4 linked regions of the Drosophila melanogaster genome follow. The protein of the gene in region 3 purifies or fractionates together with the protein of the main gene of each other region. This does not show direct contact. Each region holds a gene or a part of one and is shown on either strand. Other genes may lie near its edges. The genes, in order: Atac2, NC2beta, wds and Ada3.

Region 1 (4,937 bases), on a different chromosome or scaffold from region 3:
ATTGAGAGCAAATACGGTTGTTATGAACAAAATGGGTGGCCAAACAAATTCTAACCAGCATCGCATCTGTAAATGTCATAATCAGCTAGTAAACGACTATCCAATTTGTCAAGCTCTTTCCAGAAAATATTTACCCTCGAGCTTTAAGTGATTTATGAGTGAAACTCATTTTAACTTTCGCAAAACTAAGATATAGATATACTTTAAAACATAATTCGGGGATATACTTTTGGCTGTAGTAGCACCAACAAATTAATTTGTTTCACCATATTTTTCGCTCTTTTCGACTTGCCAGCGGGCAGTCGCGAATTAAATGAAAATCTCCTCGAGGCGCCAGACAAGCAAGTTGAAAGGAATTCAACTACAGATATTAAAGGCAGGGAAGAACTTGAAGTGCAATATTCAAATTGAATTGAAAACGATGAGTGTTGAAGTGAAATCGTAAATAGGTGCATATCCTGTAAGATGCACAAACTGCATGCTTTGCAGTAATAATCATTCGGCAAATAGAAAGTGATTTACAAAAGAAACAATTGTGGATCCGTTCAGCTTTGGTTCTCAACTGAATACCCCACTTAGCCGGCCTGCAGTTTCGACCATCCCACTTCAGTCCATAAACCAATCATGCACTTCATCAAACACACAACAACAGCAGAAGCAGAAGCAGAAGCAACAGCTTCGCCAGAACGCAGCAGCCGGCGATGCCTAATTAGGCCCGCTTAAGACAACACACTGACCGGGCCAAAAGCAATGGGGCCAGGTCCGATGGTCGATGGTCTGCCGGAAACAGCCTTAATTATGCGTAAGCCGTAAAGAGCCCATTAATGTCATTTTCGTTGCATGGCCAAAGGACGCTGGGCGTTGGGTGGTGGGTGGTGGGCGTTGGTACTAATGTGCTTGGTGGGCGTAGGGCGTGACAAACGCATGCTTGATCAAGCGAAACGGGACTGTACTAATCAAGCGGATTCTTATCTTCTAGATAGGGAGAACATAAAAAACAATCGGGATCTTTTATATAGTGTATATAAGGGCATAAGGATATGCTAGATTCGTTGAAAAGTAGGTAACTGGCATAAGAAATAACAAAAGAAAAAGTCATTCCCGACAGTATTAAGCATATATATGTAATCAGGATCAGTGGACGAGTCGATTAAAACGTGTCCTTCTGTTCGTCCGTATAAGCGCTGTGATCTCGGGAACTTAAAAGTTAGGAAGCTAAGATGGAGCAATCAGATTCTAGACATGTAGACGCATCACAGTTTGTTTCAGAAGAATGCCACGCCCACTCTAACGCCCACCAAGAGCTCAAAACTTTTAAAAAGTGTTTTGATATTTGCTTGCAATTTCTAAAAATGTGACAAGAAAATGTTGAATACACCTGAGAAGAGGGTATATAATATGCGAAGACCATAGCCTTGTCTCTGTTCCATATTAATTAAAAATGCTTATTTATGACATTTTAACAATAAAAAATTATTTTAAATTATGTTAATGCTGACATCTTCGGCATTTTAAAACGGCAATGTTAATAAATAAATAAGTGCTTAATAATAATATGTTTTGTAGTGCTTCAGAAAAGATCAATTAAGAATACAAATTAATTTTATTTTTTGTTTTCCCAATTCAAATTATTGACAAATTTGAACCGAGCACAGTGCGATTTTTTGGTATTTTCAAAATGTAAGCTTCTCATATATATGGTATAAACCAAAAAGTGCGAAACGGTAACACACAAACAACACATTATTTTGTTGATTGTTTTTAACTTGCAATTTGTGCTGTTTTACTGAGTAAATGAATCGGCCCAGTAACTGGGATGATCCCCAGGGACCATGCCGCTACTGTGAATCGCCGGTGGAGGACGACAACTACCTGGAGTGCCAGGAATGCAGGCGGATGGTTCACATCAAATGCCTGCCGCATGCTTGCACGCCCGGAGATCTTTTAGGCGACGTTTTCTTCGAGTTCACGTGCGTCAAGTGTGTGCTGGATAAAGCTAAGGAATCGGTCATACCCTCAGATCTAGAACCCATTAAGGAAGTGATCGTGCGCCAAAGGATACCTTGGCTGCTGGTGCTCACCCTAACGCTCTACAATCTGTCCATCAAACAAAAGGGCTTGGGACACCATGGATTCTTCCATTGGCGCACGCACATCATCAGTTTTGTGGACAAGAACTGGAACTATATATTCGGTCCCAATGTGTAAGTATTCGTAAATGAATAATTTCCGGAGAACACATTCAATTTATTCCCCTTGTTCAGGCGGCGTCGCAAGCAATGGACTGGTTCCGTATCCGGCGCACTGTCCCACAACAGTCCGGAGTACTTTCAGTCTGGTCTGGATGTCTTTCAGGAGAACGGCTGGTGGAAACTGGCCAAGCCCTTTCAAACCCCAAGAAGCGTTCTCAAAGAATGTAAGTGCCACTTAAGTTAATGATATGATAGATTTCACAAGTCGTCACATTTCAGATGAGAAAAAGCAACAGTTGCGGCTACAAATGCGTATTGAAAAGCGGTTGCCTGCAGCGGACGAGACCAGCTGTAGCAGCGAGATCTCAGTGGCGGATCATGCCCAGGATAACCCACCGCTTATTAAAGCAGAAGCTGAGAAACCCAGTTCAACAGAGGGCTGTGCGCGAACAATGTAAGATAATTAATTTTGAATACAACTATGCGTTCCTTTCATTAAAATCTTTCACTTTTATTCCAGTCCCTACATGGGCCGTTTGCCAAAGATACAAACACAACCTTCACCCTTGTCACAGGAAACGCTTCCAGGGCCACCAATTCTTCAAGAAAATATAGCGCCACCAAGTCAGAAGGAGGAAGAACCACAGAATCAGCCTATGAGCATGGTCCAAGCAGGCCTGATGGATTTTCTGGCTGAAAGTTTGGAAAGCGATGATTTTACCATGTTTGGTAACCTACCAGGCATAATGCCCCCACCCCTGATTGGAGCGGGTAAAAATGATTTCTTCATGACCGAGCCGTTGCTTCACGCACCTTTGAATAATGAAGGTCTTTTCGACATGGATACAAATTTTGCCATACCAAATACCGCTGATGAGACCAAACCCATATCAACAGAAGAACCTGCAGCCGAAAGCAGCGAGGAACAAAAAGAAGGCGAGGTAGAAGATGAAAAGCCAGAAGAGGACGAATCACCCGACTATCAGCCACGCATCGTACAGGTTACAAATTACCAGGCGCAAGAGGCAAACGAAAGCATCAAAGAGGAACCACTAGAAGAGATAATGCAAGATGATGACGTCACGACAAATAGCAAATCCTCTATCCTAGAGCCTTGCAAACCGAGTGGATTTGTCAGACAACCACGGCGAAATTGGCCCTGGTTGCAGGAGGCGCAGGATCCCGATGACATGGCCATTCCTAGCGAAAATCTCAAACTAATAAATGCATACGAAGAACAGAAGTTGTACCAGCGACTCGATAGAATATTCGCACTGGAGCATCAGTGCCACATATCCATACCTGCCTATGTGCGGCGCCTATATCGAAAACTTTCTCTTCGAAAATGGAAAAGGGACCACAATCGACACATATTTAACTTGGACGAGCACATAGATCCCCTGGGAAGAGCACGCCTAAAGATGCTGGGTCATCAGAAGGCCGAAATTCTTGACAGATATCAGTTGTTAGCCCATTCACGACAAGATGCAAGGAGCTCCTTTCACGCCCGCCTGGCGGGATGCACTCAATACGAGCTCTTTGAATCGCCCTACTCTCAAAGAGTTCTTCATCCATTTATCTTTCGGAGCGAAACGATGGCTCCTCCATGGCTGAAGCTTATGTGCGAGCTGCAGCATAGAGTAAACGGATCTCATCCCACAAGATCTACCATCGACTTCTGTTTTGTGAGACCGCAGCATATTCCGGCCGTAAACGCATTACTCCAAAGTACTTTTTGGCCAAACATTGATGGTGGGTTTCATGATTTTCTTTTTAGCTTTTTTAATGTACAAATTTGTATGATTTTTTCCCTTTTAGTAAGCGAGTGTTTGAGCTACCCGGACTACAGTGTAGTGGCGTTGTACAAGAAACTGGTCATCGGTTGCGGATTCCTAGTGCCCGACGTAGGTTACAACGAGGCCTACATCTCATTCATGGCGGTGCGGCCGTGCTGGCAACGCAGTGGCATCGCCAGCTTCATGTTATATCACCTTATCCAGACATGTATGTCCAAGGACATAACGTTGCACGTTTCCGCCACCAACGCGGCCGTCATGTTGTACCAGAAATTCGGATTTAAGATGGAGGAAATCATCTTGGACTTTTATGACAAGTATCTGCCTCTGGACTCGAAACAGAGCAGAAATGCCTTCTTTTTGAGATTACAAAGATGAGACTTTTTTCAAATAAATGGTTTATGAATCTAAAGTTTCAAAAGACTATTTCGAAAGAGAATTTTTGGTTGCCAAGGTATGGCTTTGGCGCACCCAACTTTATTAGTTTTAAATTTTAACCTAAAGTAGTTCTGCTTAGAATTTGCCAAATTTAGGCGAATATTTTTTCCTCCCTGCGCTTTTTGGTAACCACCGTGCCAGGCTTGTGCTGCGCTTCCGGGTGATTCATTAGCTCCGGCGGACAGGTCGAGACAGGACTTGCAGACACACATTGCTTTAGATCGTAGAACAAAGCGCTATCGTCCTTGGTGACAAACGAAATGGCACAACCGGTTTTGCCGGCACGACCCGTACGACCGATACGATGTGTGTAATCCTCGATGGTCTTGGCCATGTCATAGTTAATAACCAAGGACACGTCCTTGATGTCGATACCACGACCAGCGACGTCGGTGGCCACCAGGATGTCCTTTGCGCCTGACTTCAAAGCAGCCAAAGCATACTCTCTCTGCTCCTGACCCTTGCCACCGTGCAATGTGCACGAGTTGTAGCCGAGTTTCTCCAGACCCTT
Region 2 (3,034 bases), on a different chromosome or scaffold from region 3:
TACAGAGCGGCGCCATCATTCGCGGCGATCTGGCCAATGTCCGGACGGGAAGATATTGTGTGATTGGCAAGAACTCCGTCATCCGACCGCCGTACAAACAATTCAGCAAGGGAATCGCCTTCTTTCCCATGCACGTCGGTGAGCATGTTTTCGTTGGCGAAGGAGCAGTCGTCTCGGCGGCCACCATTGGATCCTATGTGTACATCGGCAAGAATGCCATCATAGTAAGCTATTACTTATTGTTATACCCTTGTAATCCATTTACTTTTACCATCTTTCAGGGCCGTCGCTGTGTTTTGAAAGACTGCTGTGTAATTGAGGATGGGGCTGTCCTGCCGCCAGAAACTACCGTGTCCAGCTACATGCGTTACACGGCGAGGGGAACCATCGAGGGTGGCCAGGGCAATCCGTATTTTGTGCCCGCCGCCATGCAGGACGAGATGATCAACTACACTAAGTCATTCTACGAGCATTTCGTGAGGGCTCCAGCGCCAGCCAGCTGAAAATCGTGGTGTCTACCAATTCCATCGACAGAAAACATTATTTATGAAATAAACATATTATATTAGTTATTCTATAAGTATGCGCATAGTTTGACTATTAAGTGATTAATCTATCAGTCCCGTTTCGCAGTCGTAGGCTTCCTCGCCGGACTCGAAAATGGGAAAACTCATGCCAGTACGACGGGCAATCACCGAGGCCAGTTCCTCGGAGTTGTTCTCCTTGCGCGGCTGGATGTATCGGTCCAGCAGAAGGACCGTGGCCGTATTCCGACAATTGGACACAGTGGCGGTTATGTGAAGCGGCGTCTGCTTGCCGTCCGATTCCGCATTTACATCGGCGCCAAACTGCAGCAGCAAATGGGCGCAATCCGCATTGTTCCACTTGCAGGCGGAGTGCAATGGCGTCCATCCCAGCTCCGTGCGGGCGTTGGGATTGGCATGGTACTGCAGCAGCAACTTGGCCATATCCACAAAGTTATTATAGGCAGCTCGGTGCAGCGGCGTGTATCCGTCGTTATCCTTGGCGTTCACGGTGTCTGCGTCCAGTTTTAGGATTTCCCGCACCTCGCTGATGCGGTTCTCGTTCACCGCCCACAGAATCATGCGTTCAATGCTGCCTATGATGATGTTTAATTAAACTATTTCTCTAAAATGTATTCTACTTACTTTGTGGGTTCTTGTCCTCTTCGATCAGTTCGTCGGCATCGTCGTCCCAGCCGCTCACGAACATTCCGCGCGGCACTTTGGCGTGGCGCAGCTTCTCCACCTGTGATTTTTCATCATCGGAATCGTAGTCCCCCATTTTGTGGTAATATATTAATAATAAGCCGGAATTTAAACAGCTCAACTTTTTGTTTTCTATTTCTCAAAGTGACCGTTGCTTAGCCGCTTAAGTACACTTAAAAAAATACTAAACACTTAAAAATATACTAAACGAAGAGTGGAGTTTTAAAAAGAACAGTACATTTGGTTTTTCAAATAAAAAAAAAAAAACTATTTATATAAATAATGGTAGGAATTATAAAAAAATTATTCTTTTATTTGAAAAGTCTGCCATTTAAAAAAAGGCTGTATTATTTATAATATTCATCAAAATCAAATTAATCAAAGATTATTAAGCCATTAAATTTGTGTTGAATACATAAATGATATACATCATTTTATATCATCATTTATATATTTTATTTTTAGCTATATATGCTTTATATAGTTCATTTCAATCAATTAATGATTTCATTTATTTACAAAAACAATAATTTTTCGATTACATTTTTCTGTTAGCAGTAAACGGCCACTCTAGCACACTATACTAGTAAATCCGAGAAAAACATCTGCTTCCAAGTTTGTTTGTTTGTTTGTTCCTTGAAACCAGGACGCCATGTCGAATCCGCAGGAAGAACTACTGCCGCCCAGCGCCGAGGACGACGAGCTGACCCTGCCACGGGCCAGCATCAACAAGATCATCAAGGAGCTGGTGCCCACGGTGCGGGTGGCCAACGAGAGTCGCGAGCTGATACTCAACTGCTGCTCAGAGTTCATTCATCTGATCAGTTCGGAGGCCAACGAGGTGTGCAACATGCGCAACAAGAAGACGATAAACGCAGAGCACGTCCTGGAGGCGTTGGAACGCTTGGGTTTTCACGACTACAAACAAGAGGCGGAGGCCGTTCTGCACGACTGCAAGGAGGTGGCAGCCAAGCGAAGGCGCCAGAGCACGCGCCTAGAGAACCTGGGCATTCCGGAGGAGGAGCTGCTGCGCCAGCAGCAGGAGCTGTTCGCCAAGGCACGCGAGGAGCAGGCGCGCGAGGAGCAGCAGCAGTGGATGAGCATGCAAGCGGCAGCAATGGTGCAGCGACCACCGCTGGCAGACGGCTCCGTTGCCAGCAAGCCAAGTGAGGATGACGATGACGATGACGACGACGACTACTAGTAGGAAATAGTCTTTCTATGAGCTTAGTGTAGATTTAATCTTAAAATATATGCCATAAGTTGAACTTTCAACTATTAGCTACTCTTCATTACGGATCATCCGTTTGTCCTTCACTCCAGCAGCCTGGGCACCGCATCCTCAATCTCCGAAACGACTTCCTTAGATGTATCGTAACTTTAATCTTTAAAAATGCAAGACTATTCGTTATTATATCAGCTGGTACCAGCCAGATTTTGTGGCTCCTCCGCCTCATTGTCATCCTTGCCATTTATTTGCATCTCCACCAATCGGGGAAAAGTTTGTGGTGCGTCGTATGTGCCTGGCACATATTTTCCCAATATTTCGGTGTGTTCCTTCCAGAACTGCGAAGATATCAGATCCTCGTGCAGCGGCACCACGGCCTGCCTGCTCTTCTCACCCAATATCACGCGTTTTCTCAGCAGAATCGTTCCCTTTCTGTACATTGCCGGCAGATTGTTGTAATTTATCCCGAATTCCTGGAAGAGCAGCTCATTTTTGTCCGCCGAAAAGGTGCCACGGAGTTTCGCCTCGGCTTGCTGGTTCGTCAGGCCTTTTTCCAAAACGAGTTTCCAAAAGGCGG
Region 3 (4,702 bases):
TGTGTGTGTGTGTGCGCGACGGCGGCGGAGCGATATTGATTTGCAAATTAATTGCAAAATTCACTTGGCGACTTTTGTTCAGCGGGTTGGCGCGCGCATCGCAGGGGCATTCGGATTCGGCAAGGTTCTGAATCAAGTGAATCGAATCCGTGATCTCCGAGTTTCGATTCGTCGGTTTTTTCGATTTTCGTTTCGCCAAGTGACCGTCGCGCGCCGTTGTCGAAATCCAGTGGCAAACGTTCAAACTGAACGGGCAGTGTGGCCCTCTTCAACCGAACTCAACGCAGGGTCGCACTCCAATAGGCGCTAGAGTTTAAAAATAAATAACTTAAAGAAAACGTCTACGTTAAGTATTATACCTGTGTTCATTCATTTAAAAACCGTAATATATTAAACGTACTTATTATCGCTTTTAAACCGTAATGAAGGTTCGTTTGTTTCGTAATTTTGCTAAACTGTATGTTTTTTTAGAATTAAAACTTCTCTTATTATGTGAATAAAATGCAATTTGTACATTTAAGTGTCTCGCCTCGAAAAGCGCGCAAGTTGAAAGGACACTTGGGCGCCGCCGAGACGGTGTTTTCTTTTATTCAAAATTTACATTTCGTATTTTATATATATTCTTTCTGGCGCTGGGATTCTGCCCCGAGCACCTGTTGTATCTTTTACGCTTAAATTTAGTTTTCTCGTCACCGAAAGATCATTATAAGTTATGTTGGTTTGCGTGGCTGTGTCAAAGGTTACAAACAATTTTGGGGGAATATTCTCGCTTGCATGGTGGGCCAATACAATAGGCTAATAAATATTTATACATTAATCGTTTTTTTTGTTTTCACTTTTTGTTGTTTTTTTTTTTTGTTTTTGTTTGTTTGTTTGTAATTTTTCCGTTTTGCCGTAGAATGTGAGGTTTAAAGTGTGATTTAAACGTAGAATTTTAGAGTTCCTTTTCTTTTTTAAATTATGCGTACAAAAAAAAAAGGGGGCTCGTGGTGGGGGGGTGTGGGGGTGTTACAATTACGATTAGGCTGTTCGCTTTAAAATAATATTATCCAAGAAATGTATGTGTGTGTTCCGATCGAACGTCCTCCAGCTGGATACCAGCCACTCTATGTATCCGACTTCCACAGCTTGATGGTCTTGTCGTTCTCGAGCGCCGCGGAAGCAATGATGTTCTCCGTGGGATGGCAGGCGGTGCACAGAACGGTATCGGTGTGTCCCTGCAGCTTTTGCACCACCTCCTTGCTCTGCAGATTCCAAATGTAGACCATGTTGTCCTCGCTGCCACTCACGATCCACTACAATGGACGCTTGTGAGTTAAAGCCTAAATGTGCATAAGATATGAACTCACCTTTCCTCCCGTCACCGAGAAGTTGGCGAATATGCAGTACTTCTCATTCTTGTGACCCGTATACGTCTTCAGGCACTTGCCCTTCGAGTAGTCCCACAACTTGAGCGTATTATCCAGCGTGGCGGCCAAAATGTACTTGCCATTGGGCGAGAACTTTACAAAGCTGACGGGCGGATTGTCGTCGTCGATCAGGGTTTTCAAGCACTGTCCACTGGCCGTGTCCCATATGCGACAGAGGCCGTCGTAGCTGCTGCTCACGATCAGCGATCCGTCGCGATTGAAATGTACCGCCGAAACGGGATCGGAATGGGCGGGTAGAGTCTTCAGACACTTGCCGGTGCGCACATCCCATATGCGAACGCTCTCGTCGAAGCTGCCGGAGACGATCAGATTGGACTGCGGATTAAAGTTGCAGCAGAACACATAGTTGCTGTGGCCCTTCAGAGTTTTCAAGCTCTTCCCGGTGCTCAGCTCCCAGACCTTGAGCGTCTTGTCATCACTGCCGCTCACGAGGAGTCGCGAGTCTGAGCTCCAGGCCACATCGCTGATGCCCAGCTTGTGGCCCGAAATGGTCTTCTCGAACTTGCCATCGTATGCTCCCCAGATTTTGATTAGTTTATCAGCGGCTGAGGGTTAGAAGTGGAAGTTTAATAGGCATGTGCTGTATGTATGGAATGTACAATATGTATTCTATAAATGCTTCTTCTCTTTTCCGAGATCTTATTTCATCCCAATTCCCATTAACTGAGCTGCCAAAGCTGCCTGTTCAGTCCAATAGCAGTTCAGTACCATAAAATTCCCCCCCAGATATTCGTGGATAGGGATGTATGTACTTACAGGAGCTGGCCAGCCACTCGCCATTCGGACTGAACTTGACCGCCGACACCGCCTTGGTGTGCCCGGCCAGCGTGAACTTGAGCGTGTAGTTGGGCTTGACGGATAGCGAGCTCTTGTTGGAGGCGCTGCTGTTCGAGGAGGTGGTGGCCCCCGGCTGGCCCACCGAGTTCGGCTGCAGCGAGTTTGGGCCGCTGGGCGCCGTGGGCAGTGGTTGCTGTGGCGGATGCACTACGCCGGGATGGCCGCCGTGCACGGCTCCGATGGGCACCATGTCCTCCGGATGCGGATTCTGCTTATGCTCCTTGGCCTGGCCTCCTTGTTTATTTTCCTTTTTTCTTTGGCACGCCGCACACGTGCTTCTTCTTCTTGTTGTTCCGACTAGAGAAACGCCGCCAATTAGCGGGCGAATTTGTTGGGCCTGTCGGATTAACTGCAGCTACTCCCGTTACCGGTGGTCACCGGCTGCTCTCTCTGCTGGGCGTGTGATTTGTTTGTTTAAATAGGCGCTTGGTTTTTTGGCTCGTTTGCGTGCCACACGTGAAAATAATAATGCTTAAGGTCACACTAATAACTAAAAATTGGTCAGCGCGTCAGTGTGGCCGTTGCGCACCAGCCACGGATTGCCACAGCGGTGGTGGAACGTGTTTACTCGATTCCTTGCTTTTTGTTTTTTTTTTTAGGGAGATTTGGGATGTTTTCGTCCTTGGGGGATGATTCTAGAATGGGACTCTTAGTTTCCCGCTGAAACTATCAGGGGGAGTGCATCGGGCACATCGATGCCAAATTGCATGCAGTTAGCTCGACGTTGCCAGATCGTTTCATACATGTTTGAAGTTTCGCGTACAGTTGCATTTAAATTTATACCAATTGCCAGTAGTTATTTAGTCTTAAAATTGCAGGTAATTCTAACTGAACTGTCAATTTTGAAGGGCTTAAGAAGGATTTACATAGTGTTAGAACATTTTTTGCGCCTTTAAGATTTCAAACCAAAAATTTCCTAGCAGCAACCAAGATTTGTAGGAAAATACATCTAACTCCTTTGGCGACTCACAATTTATGTATAAATATTATTTAATTACAATATTTACAATATATATCTAAAAAAATTCAATTGGCATTTTTTTCAACTGGACATAGCCGACAGTTGGCATTCCGCAGACAGCTGCACCTGGCCACACTGGCCCAAGCTGTTAGACCAAAACATTCCCAGTTCAGTTTCCAATTGGACGCCAGGATCAAAGGAGCGCAGCCGCGGGCACAGGAGCACGCGAAGCACACGGAGCCAAGGACTCGAGGACCCGAGGAGCACAAGAAGCCAAGAAGAGCCCAGCTGCTGGCCAGAATGAACGGACTGCCGCCGAGCAAGCACTACAACCTGACGCACTACCAGCAGCGCTACAACTGGGACTGCGGTCTGTCCTGCATCATTATGATCCTGTCGGCGCAGCAAAGGGAACAGCTTCTTGGGAACTTTGATGCCGTGTGCGGCGAGGAGGGATTTGGCTCGAGCACCTGGACCATCGACCTGTGCTATCTGCTGATGCGCTACCAGGTGGGCATGCCGTGATGCACATTTGCATTCGCTCACTTCTTTGACACTCTCTTCTTGGCCAGGTGCGCCACGAGTACTTCACCCAAACGCTCGGGATCGATCCCAACTACGCGCAGCACACGTACTACTCCAAGATCATCGACAAGGACGAACGGCGCGTGACGCGCAAGTTCAAGGACGCCCGGGCCCATGGACTGCGCGTTGAACAGCGCACCGTGGACATGGAGGTCATTCTGCGGCATTTGGCCCGCCACGGACCCGTCATCCTGCTGACCAACGCCTCGCTGCTCACGTGCGAGGTGTGCAAGCGCAATGTCCTAGAGAAGTTCGGGTGAGTTCCTCTTGCCACCGGCGATTCACAAAAAACCACCTTAAATCCACACTCGAATGAAAAGCTGTTTTCATATACCCTGCATTGCTCAAAATACACGCCTCCATGGACCCAAAAGGTATGCCGGACACTATGTGGTGCTCTGCGGATATGACATGGCCGCCCAGAAGCTCTTCTACCACAATCCCGAGGTCCACGATGGCCGTGAGTATTCCATTTGGTAGCAATCCTTGAAAATTCATTGATTTTCGTTTTTGGCTGCGTTCCACAGACATTTGTCGCTGCCTCATCGAGTCCATGGACACGGCCCGACGCGCCTACGGCACGGACGAGGACATCATTTTCATATACGAGAAGAAGGAAACTAGGGAGTAGTAGATGGATAAACCAGCGGAACAGATGAACAAATGAACAGATGAATTGATGAACAGATGAACAGAAGTACCTGCCGTCGCCAGGTTGCCAGGTGATGAGAACGGATGATTGGAATCTGCGCTTGTGATATTAGGACTTTAGGAGGAGACCTTGTAGGGGGGGACTTCGAGTGGGAGGTAAGAGAAAAAGCTGTCTGGTTAACTTTGGCACAACAGTGTACTTTATTTAGGTATTGTTAGCAGTTGGTCCCCATACAAA
Region 4 (4,968 bases), about 15 Mb from region 3:
CTGGCCTGCGACTGGGCTTATAAAACATGTGCTAGTGCCGTTTTCAAACAACAGCTGACACACAAAAGCCCCATAATCGCTGAGACATCGCCGGAACGGAACACATCGACGACGACGACGACACACGTAGACGCAAATATTTGATCAATAAAACAAGAGCGGAGGGTTTGTTCAGGTTTTGGCGGCACTGCAAATACCCTTACCCGCCCGCGGTTATTGTTCGACATATTGTTCTAGATATTATGTGCAATCCACGATGGGATTATCTCGCAAAACAAACGTGTTTGTGTGTACACTATCCTTTCTATGACGAGATATAAATTCAAATTAGCTACGATTTTCAGTTGTTCTATCTACCAGATGATATTCACATTGCCAAGATTGCAAATAGCAAAAACAAAGAATTAACTAAAGAAACAAAGAACTATATAGACTGATGATCACTTTTTACTTGAGATAATAGATGGGGGAAGCTTGTATTTATCTTTGTATTGAAGAACAAACAAAAGAAACTCGAAACGAATATATCACTTCTCTTTAATGTACACATCTTATGGAATACAAAACATGAAACCAAGCTTAAATAAAACACTTTTGTCCGCTGTTCATTTATATTAAATTGTTTTCACTGTTTATTTTAGGATCTTTAGAACCGAAACTCTCGGGGATCGAATTTTAACTTAAACAATACACTTCGCACTTTTTGATTGTAAAATAGACAAGTCGAAGTTAAGTTAATTGGCGTAGAACGAAAATAAAAAACTTTTGCAGTTCGGTGATAGATCATAGCTTAAAGGTGGCATTGCAAACCTCTTCTGATAGCGAAAATGCCCAGTTGGGAAAGTGTAGTCAAATCGAAGGGAAACAGCGTTTTGAAGCTGGGATATTTGTGCATATGTCGGCACGACTGAACCCAACTAAACCGAACTGAATCGCTGGATGTTGGCTTTTGATTTTCGTTGATTCCCGCCCGCGGGGAGGGGGGGTGTGGTCGTGAGCAGCGAAGGGGGCGTGGCGGCTGAGCGTCAATTCGACTTGTCTTGTGATTTGCGCCTCACAATTGGACAAACGAGGCGCAATTGGAGGCAACCAGTCCGAGATTATCGGATGCTTCGATGTTTTGGGTGCTTGGATGTTCAAATGTTTGGATGTGTTTGCATGCTTTGTGGGATTTTGGGGGGGTGGGGTTTGGGAAATGGGTGTTCAATTACATAAAATTACATACATACACTGCAGTTTGCACTTGCAGTTCGTCTGCGGAAGGGGGGGAATGGGTCTACTCTAACATCGCAAGCTGCTCCCACTGGCCATTACAAATTGTCAACAGTCGCTGATTTGTTAAGTACACTGCTTATCACCGAAATAGCGCGCATATCACTAAAAAATTCAGACGACGACGGGCGAAATGCGAACGCCAAACAACAACAAAGAACTGAACAAAAAAGCAAAGTATTGGTAAGCACGCGCGCTACGCGGCCACCAGTGTTGCACAGCGCTGGAGCAGCTCTGTTGTGCACGATCACTGTTATAGTTGCAGAGAGTATTTTTCACTATTTTGTGGATAAAATCAAGTGGTATGAAAATGTATCCATGCGATAATGTTCCGTTATCTTCAATTGCTGAAATAAAGTCAAATAAACAGTTTCAATTACTGCTAAAGTTAATTAATGAAATGCTAGTTAAGTATGTCTTAAATTATAAATATTTAGCTACTCATGAGAATTTTTTTTGTTTGGCCCACTGTGCATAACCCGCGCGTGTAGCCCATTCCAGTATTTTACCATCTTGTACATTAGTATTTACCCGTCTTCCGCTACGGTCACACTGCCATATCGACGCAAAACAAATTGCGATTTTCACAACACAAGAAAAGCAGGAAAAACAGCAAATATATCCGCAATCTAGCTAACACACAGGTCCCCAACCAGTCGCAGTCGCGTTCCATGAGTGCGAACCTGAAGAATATCAAACTGGCCCACTTCAGTGGTTCGCTCGGTTCCGGTGGCTTTGGCATCTCTGCGTCATCCGGAGGAGCTGGAAAACTGCCCACAAATGGCACAGGTGGCGGCAAATCCGCCCCAACGAGCACCTTCCTGGACTCCGAGGTGCTGGCCACGCCCGGCGGCGTCGTTATACCAATAATTCGCACTCGGGACGTGCCCAAATTGCTGCCCACCATTGCAGCGGCACTGCAGCGTCCGGCGGATGATCATTTGGCGGCCGAGGATCTGGATGCAGTGCAACTGGAGCTGGAACAGATGCTCTCCAATGTGGCGCTGCGCACGCGCGTCCTGAAAGCGGAGTATGATAGCCTCGACAAGGATGAGAAGCGCCAGGATCGAAGAAAGCTCGACCGTGTGCCTGGATCGCCACCTTGTCCGGCTAGCATGCTCAACGGCTTGCTGGGCATCGGCAGCAACTCGTCGACGAGTCTGGGCAGCCCGCTGGGCGGCGGAGGCGCCTCATCCTCTAGCCAATCGAAGCGCAAGCGGGATGAGCCAACGGGCGTGCGCAAAAAGCACTCTTCGATGACCATTCTCAAGCAACAGGGCGTTTCCGGCGGCACCTCGAAGCACCAGGCCAAGAACAGCCCCTTGGTCGTGCACACCGACGACAGCATGGACTATCTGCCCACACTGGCGGCCGCCAATGCCTCTGGATCCGTGCTGCCGCATCACCAGCCGCTGCCGCAGCTACCGAAAATGACGGTGCCCAAGAACGATACGCCCAACAAGTTCTGGCTATCCGTGGAGCCCTACTGCATGCCTCTAACCAACGAGGATCTGCGCCTAATCGATGACCTGCTGGAGCAGTATTGGGGTCCACTGGTGCCGCCAGTGCCACCTCTGGGTCCCCACTACTCCACAGTTTGGGCCCAGGAGGATATAAAGGCGCTGCAGCCGGGCGGAGCTCGAATTAAATCGAACAATTCCAGCGGAATGCTCAAAAAGGCCGAAGGCATGGTGGATGAGAGCATCACTGGTCCACTCACCCAGCGTTTGGTGTCCGCCTTAATGGAGGAGTCCCTGATGACGCTGCCCAGCGAACAGGCCGCCGTGGGCGAGCACAGCAACAGCACCACGAGCAGCAGCAACGAGAACACCCACTCGCACTCCTCGTCCTCGGCAAATGCTGCCGCAGCAGCTGCTTCCGGGAACTTTCGATCTCTCGCCATGATGAAACACGGCGTGGGCATCGAACAGCGCCTGAAGAAGACTCTCATCGAGAACGGACTGATCGATGCCAGTGAGTTTGCGGCCCACGAAGACGTGGACGAGGTGCTGATGGAGATCAAGCGCGTAACGACCGAAATCAGCACCATTTCGCAGTTTAACAGCGAGGAATTGAAGCGACTGCGTGCCGTTGCCAGTGAGGAAATCAAGCGCATTGCCATCAAACAGAAATTGGACATGGTGGACCAGGAGATACTCGAGTGCTACAAGCGAATGCTGCAGTATCGGGCCAAGCGCAAGGGCCACACCATCGAGGAGAAGCAGGAGATACTGCGGCTGACCAACGAGCAGCGCCTACTTGCGGATCAGCTGGAGCGTATGCAGATGCATCTGCCCTGCATCGGCGGCTCCGGCAACTCCCTGTTAGAGCCAAAGATGTAGGACAGGAGCCTGGCCTGGGGCTGGTGCCAGCTAATGGCCATGCATCAGGCAAAGAGGCAGGTCCGCGACGCTAGCCTCAAGCTGCAGTGCGTCTGAAGGAGCTGCTCCTCCTTACTCGCCACTCCTTTCATTTCGCCAGACTGTAAATTAGCCACGCTATTCGACACGTACACGTAGCCTCTAGTGTCCGCAATCCAAGTTGTGGACGTTTTGGGAAGATGCGCTCATGGTGGCGGAAAATGTTTTGCATAAGTTTTCCTCGAGTTTTGGCATTCGTTTTCCCCAAATCGAACGCCACTTTTGAGTCGTTTTCGACTAGCTTCCAAACCCGTATTCTTATCTTCGTCACCAGACTGTACATTAACAAAGATACATTAGCTCATAGAATGTAGTGTTCAAGATTAAAGTGAAATTAATTATTTAGATAAGATCTTCAAGTGGCGGAGAGTAGCGTTTGCGTATTTTAAACTGTTCTTTTACAAAATCATAATTTCCCTTTCCTTGCTTAGTAACGTATTCCGTATTCTGTAAGCCTACAGTTTTTTGCCAATTTGTTTGTAATTGCCTGAAAATTAAATGGATATCCGTAGATTTTACATGCTAAATGCTAAATTTGATTTTGTGTACATAAAAGTGGAGGGTGAGATTCGCATTATTCGCTAAATGAACTGAAAAACTTTCCGCTACTGGAATTTCCCAAAATTTTACGAGCACGTTGTTTTCCTCATGTCTTTCGCAACTATAAATATTGATTCACCCTATTTAACACTCCCAAATACATACACTTTGTATAGCTTAAGTTATCGCGCGGCAATAAAGTCGTCACTATCGAGAGTAAAGCACAGAATTTTCCACCATGGGAGTGAGTTTGGGAGGAGAGAAACCACCGCGCTGGGCGAACGCTGCGTACGCTTTGAGCTCGATCTGGCCGACGAAGCGGGCAAGTGAACTCCAGCGGATGTGGGGAATCCTCTGCCGTTGCTTCGATCTTGTTTGCCCAGCCGATAAGGCGCAATCAAAGTCGGCAACTCCAGCGTACGGCTAATTAAAGCCAAACAAGCGAGCCGGCCATCTTCGATCGGAGGAAGCCCTTCCGGGCCACGCGGATTGGCTATCTCTAGAACGCTAATCGCCAGGCAAATATATCCAGAAACAAACTTTATTATACGTAGCAAATGGCAGTCAAATCTGATCTTCTAATATGTGCAAGTTTTTAGTCTTGGGTGAACACGTCGTCAGTGGCCTTCCTCTGAATGTATGCTAGATGATGTTTGTGGGTATAAAGATTCATTGTACTTCATGTATGCCGCGGTGCATCTTGCTTGACTGGTCGATCCCTTTCGCCCGCCACCCG

What was found.
Region 1: the proteins of wds (region 3) and Atac2 purify together in Drosophila melanogaster (affinity purification with mass spectrometry; 4 studies listed by BioGRID). This does not show direct contact.
Region 2: the proteins of wds (region 3) and NC2beta purify together in Drosophila melanogaster (affinity purification with mass spectrometry, with the first as the bait; 2 studies listed by BioGRID). This does not show direct contact.
Region 4: the proteins of wds (region 3) and Ada3 purify together in Drosophila melanogaster (affinity purification with mass spectrometry, with the first as the bait; 2 studies listed by BioGRID). This does not show direct contact.

What each region holds. Positions count from the first base shown.
Region 1 is NT_033779.5:18,609,036-18,613,972, reverse strand, and holds Atac2 (Ada2a-containing complex component 2), read left to right. Parts: upstream 1-1,723; 5' UTR 1,724-1,794; coding exon 1,795-2,204; intron 2,205-2,264; coding exon 2,265-2,416; intron 2,417-2,471; coding exon 2,472-2,646; intron 2,647-2,712; coding exon 2,713-3,944; intron 3,945-4,010; coding exon 4,011-4,366; 3' UTR 4,367-4,397; downstream 4,398-4,937. Other genes in the region: CG10333 (uncharacterized protein), read right to left, coding at 4,518-4,937.
Region 2 is NT_033779.5:15,006,037-15,009,070, forward strand, and holds NC2beta (negative cofactor 2beta), read left to right. Parts: upstream 1-1,776; 5' UTR 1,777-1,881; coding exon 1,882-2,433; 3' UTR 2,434-2,502; downstream 2,503-3,034. Other genes in the region: DCTN5-p25 (dynactin 5, p25 subunit), read left to right, coding at 1-224, 282-503; Ankrd49, read right to left, coding at 609-1,120, 1,170-1,305; THG (tRNA-histidine guanylyltransferase), read right to left, coding at 2,646-3,034. UniProt on the Drosophila melanogaster protein: Bifunctional basic transcription factor. Activates transcription of DPE (Downstream Promoter Element) containing promoters while repressing transcription of promoters which contain TATA elements.
Region 3 is NC_004354.4:2,584,034-2,588,735, reverse strand, and holds wds (will die slowly), read right to left. Parts: upstream 2,757-4,702; 5' UTR 2,458-2,756; coding exon 2,187-2,457; intron 1,976-2,186; coding exon 1,350-1,975; intron 1,296-1,349; coding exon 1,107-1,295; 3' UTR 519-1,106; downstream 1-518. Other genes in the region: CG13760 (uncharacterized protein), read left to right, coding at 3,529-3,738, 3,801-4,069, 4,134-4,273, 4,341-4,444.
Region 4 is NC_004354.4:18,083,969-18,088,936, forward strand, and holds Ada3 (transcriptional adaptor 3), read left to right. Parts: upstream 1-1,792; 5' UTR 1,793-1,943; coding exon 1,944-3,614; coding exon of another isoform or gene 3,615-3,710; 3' UTR 3,711-4,450; downstream 4,451-4,968.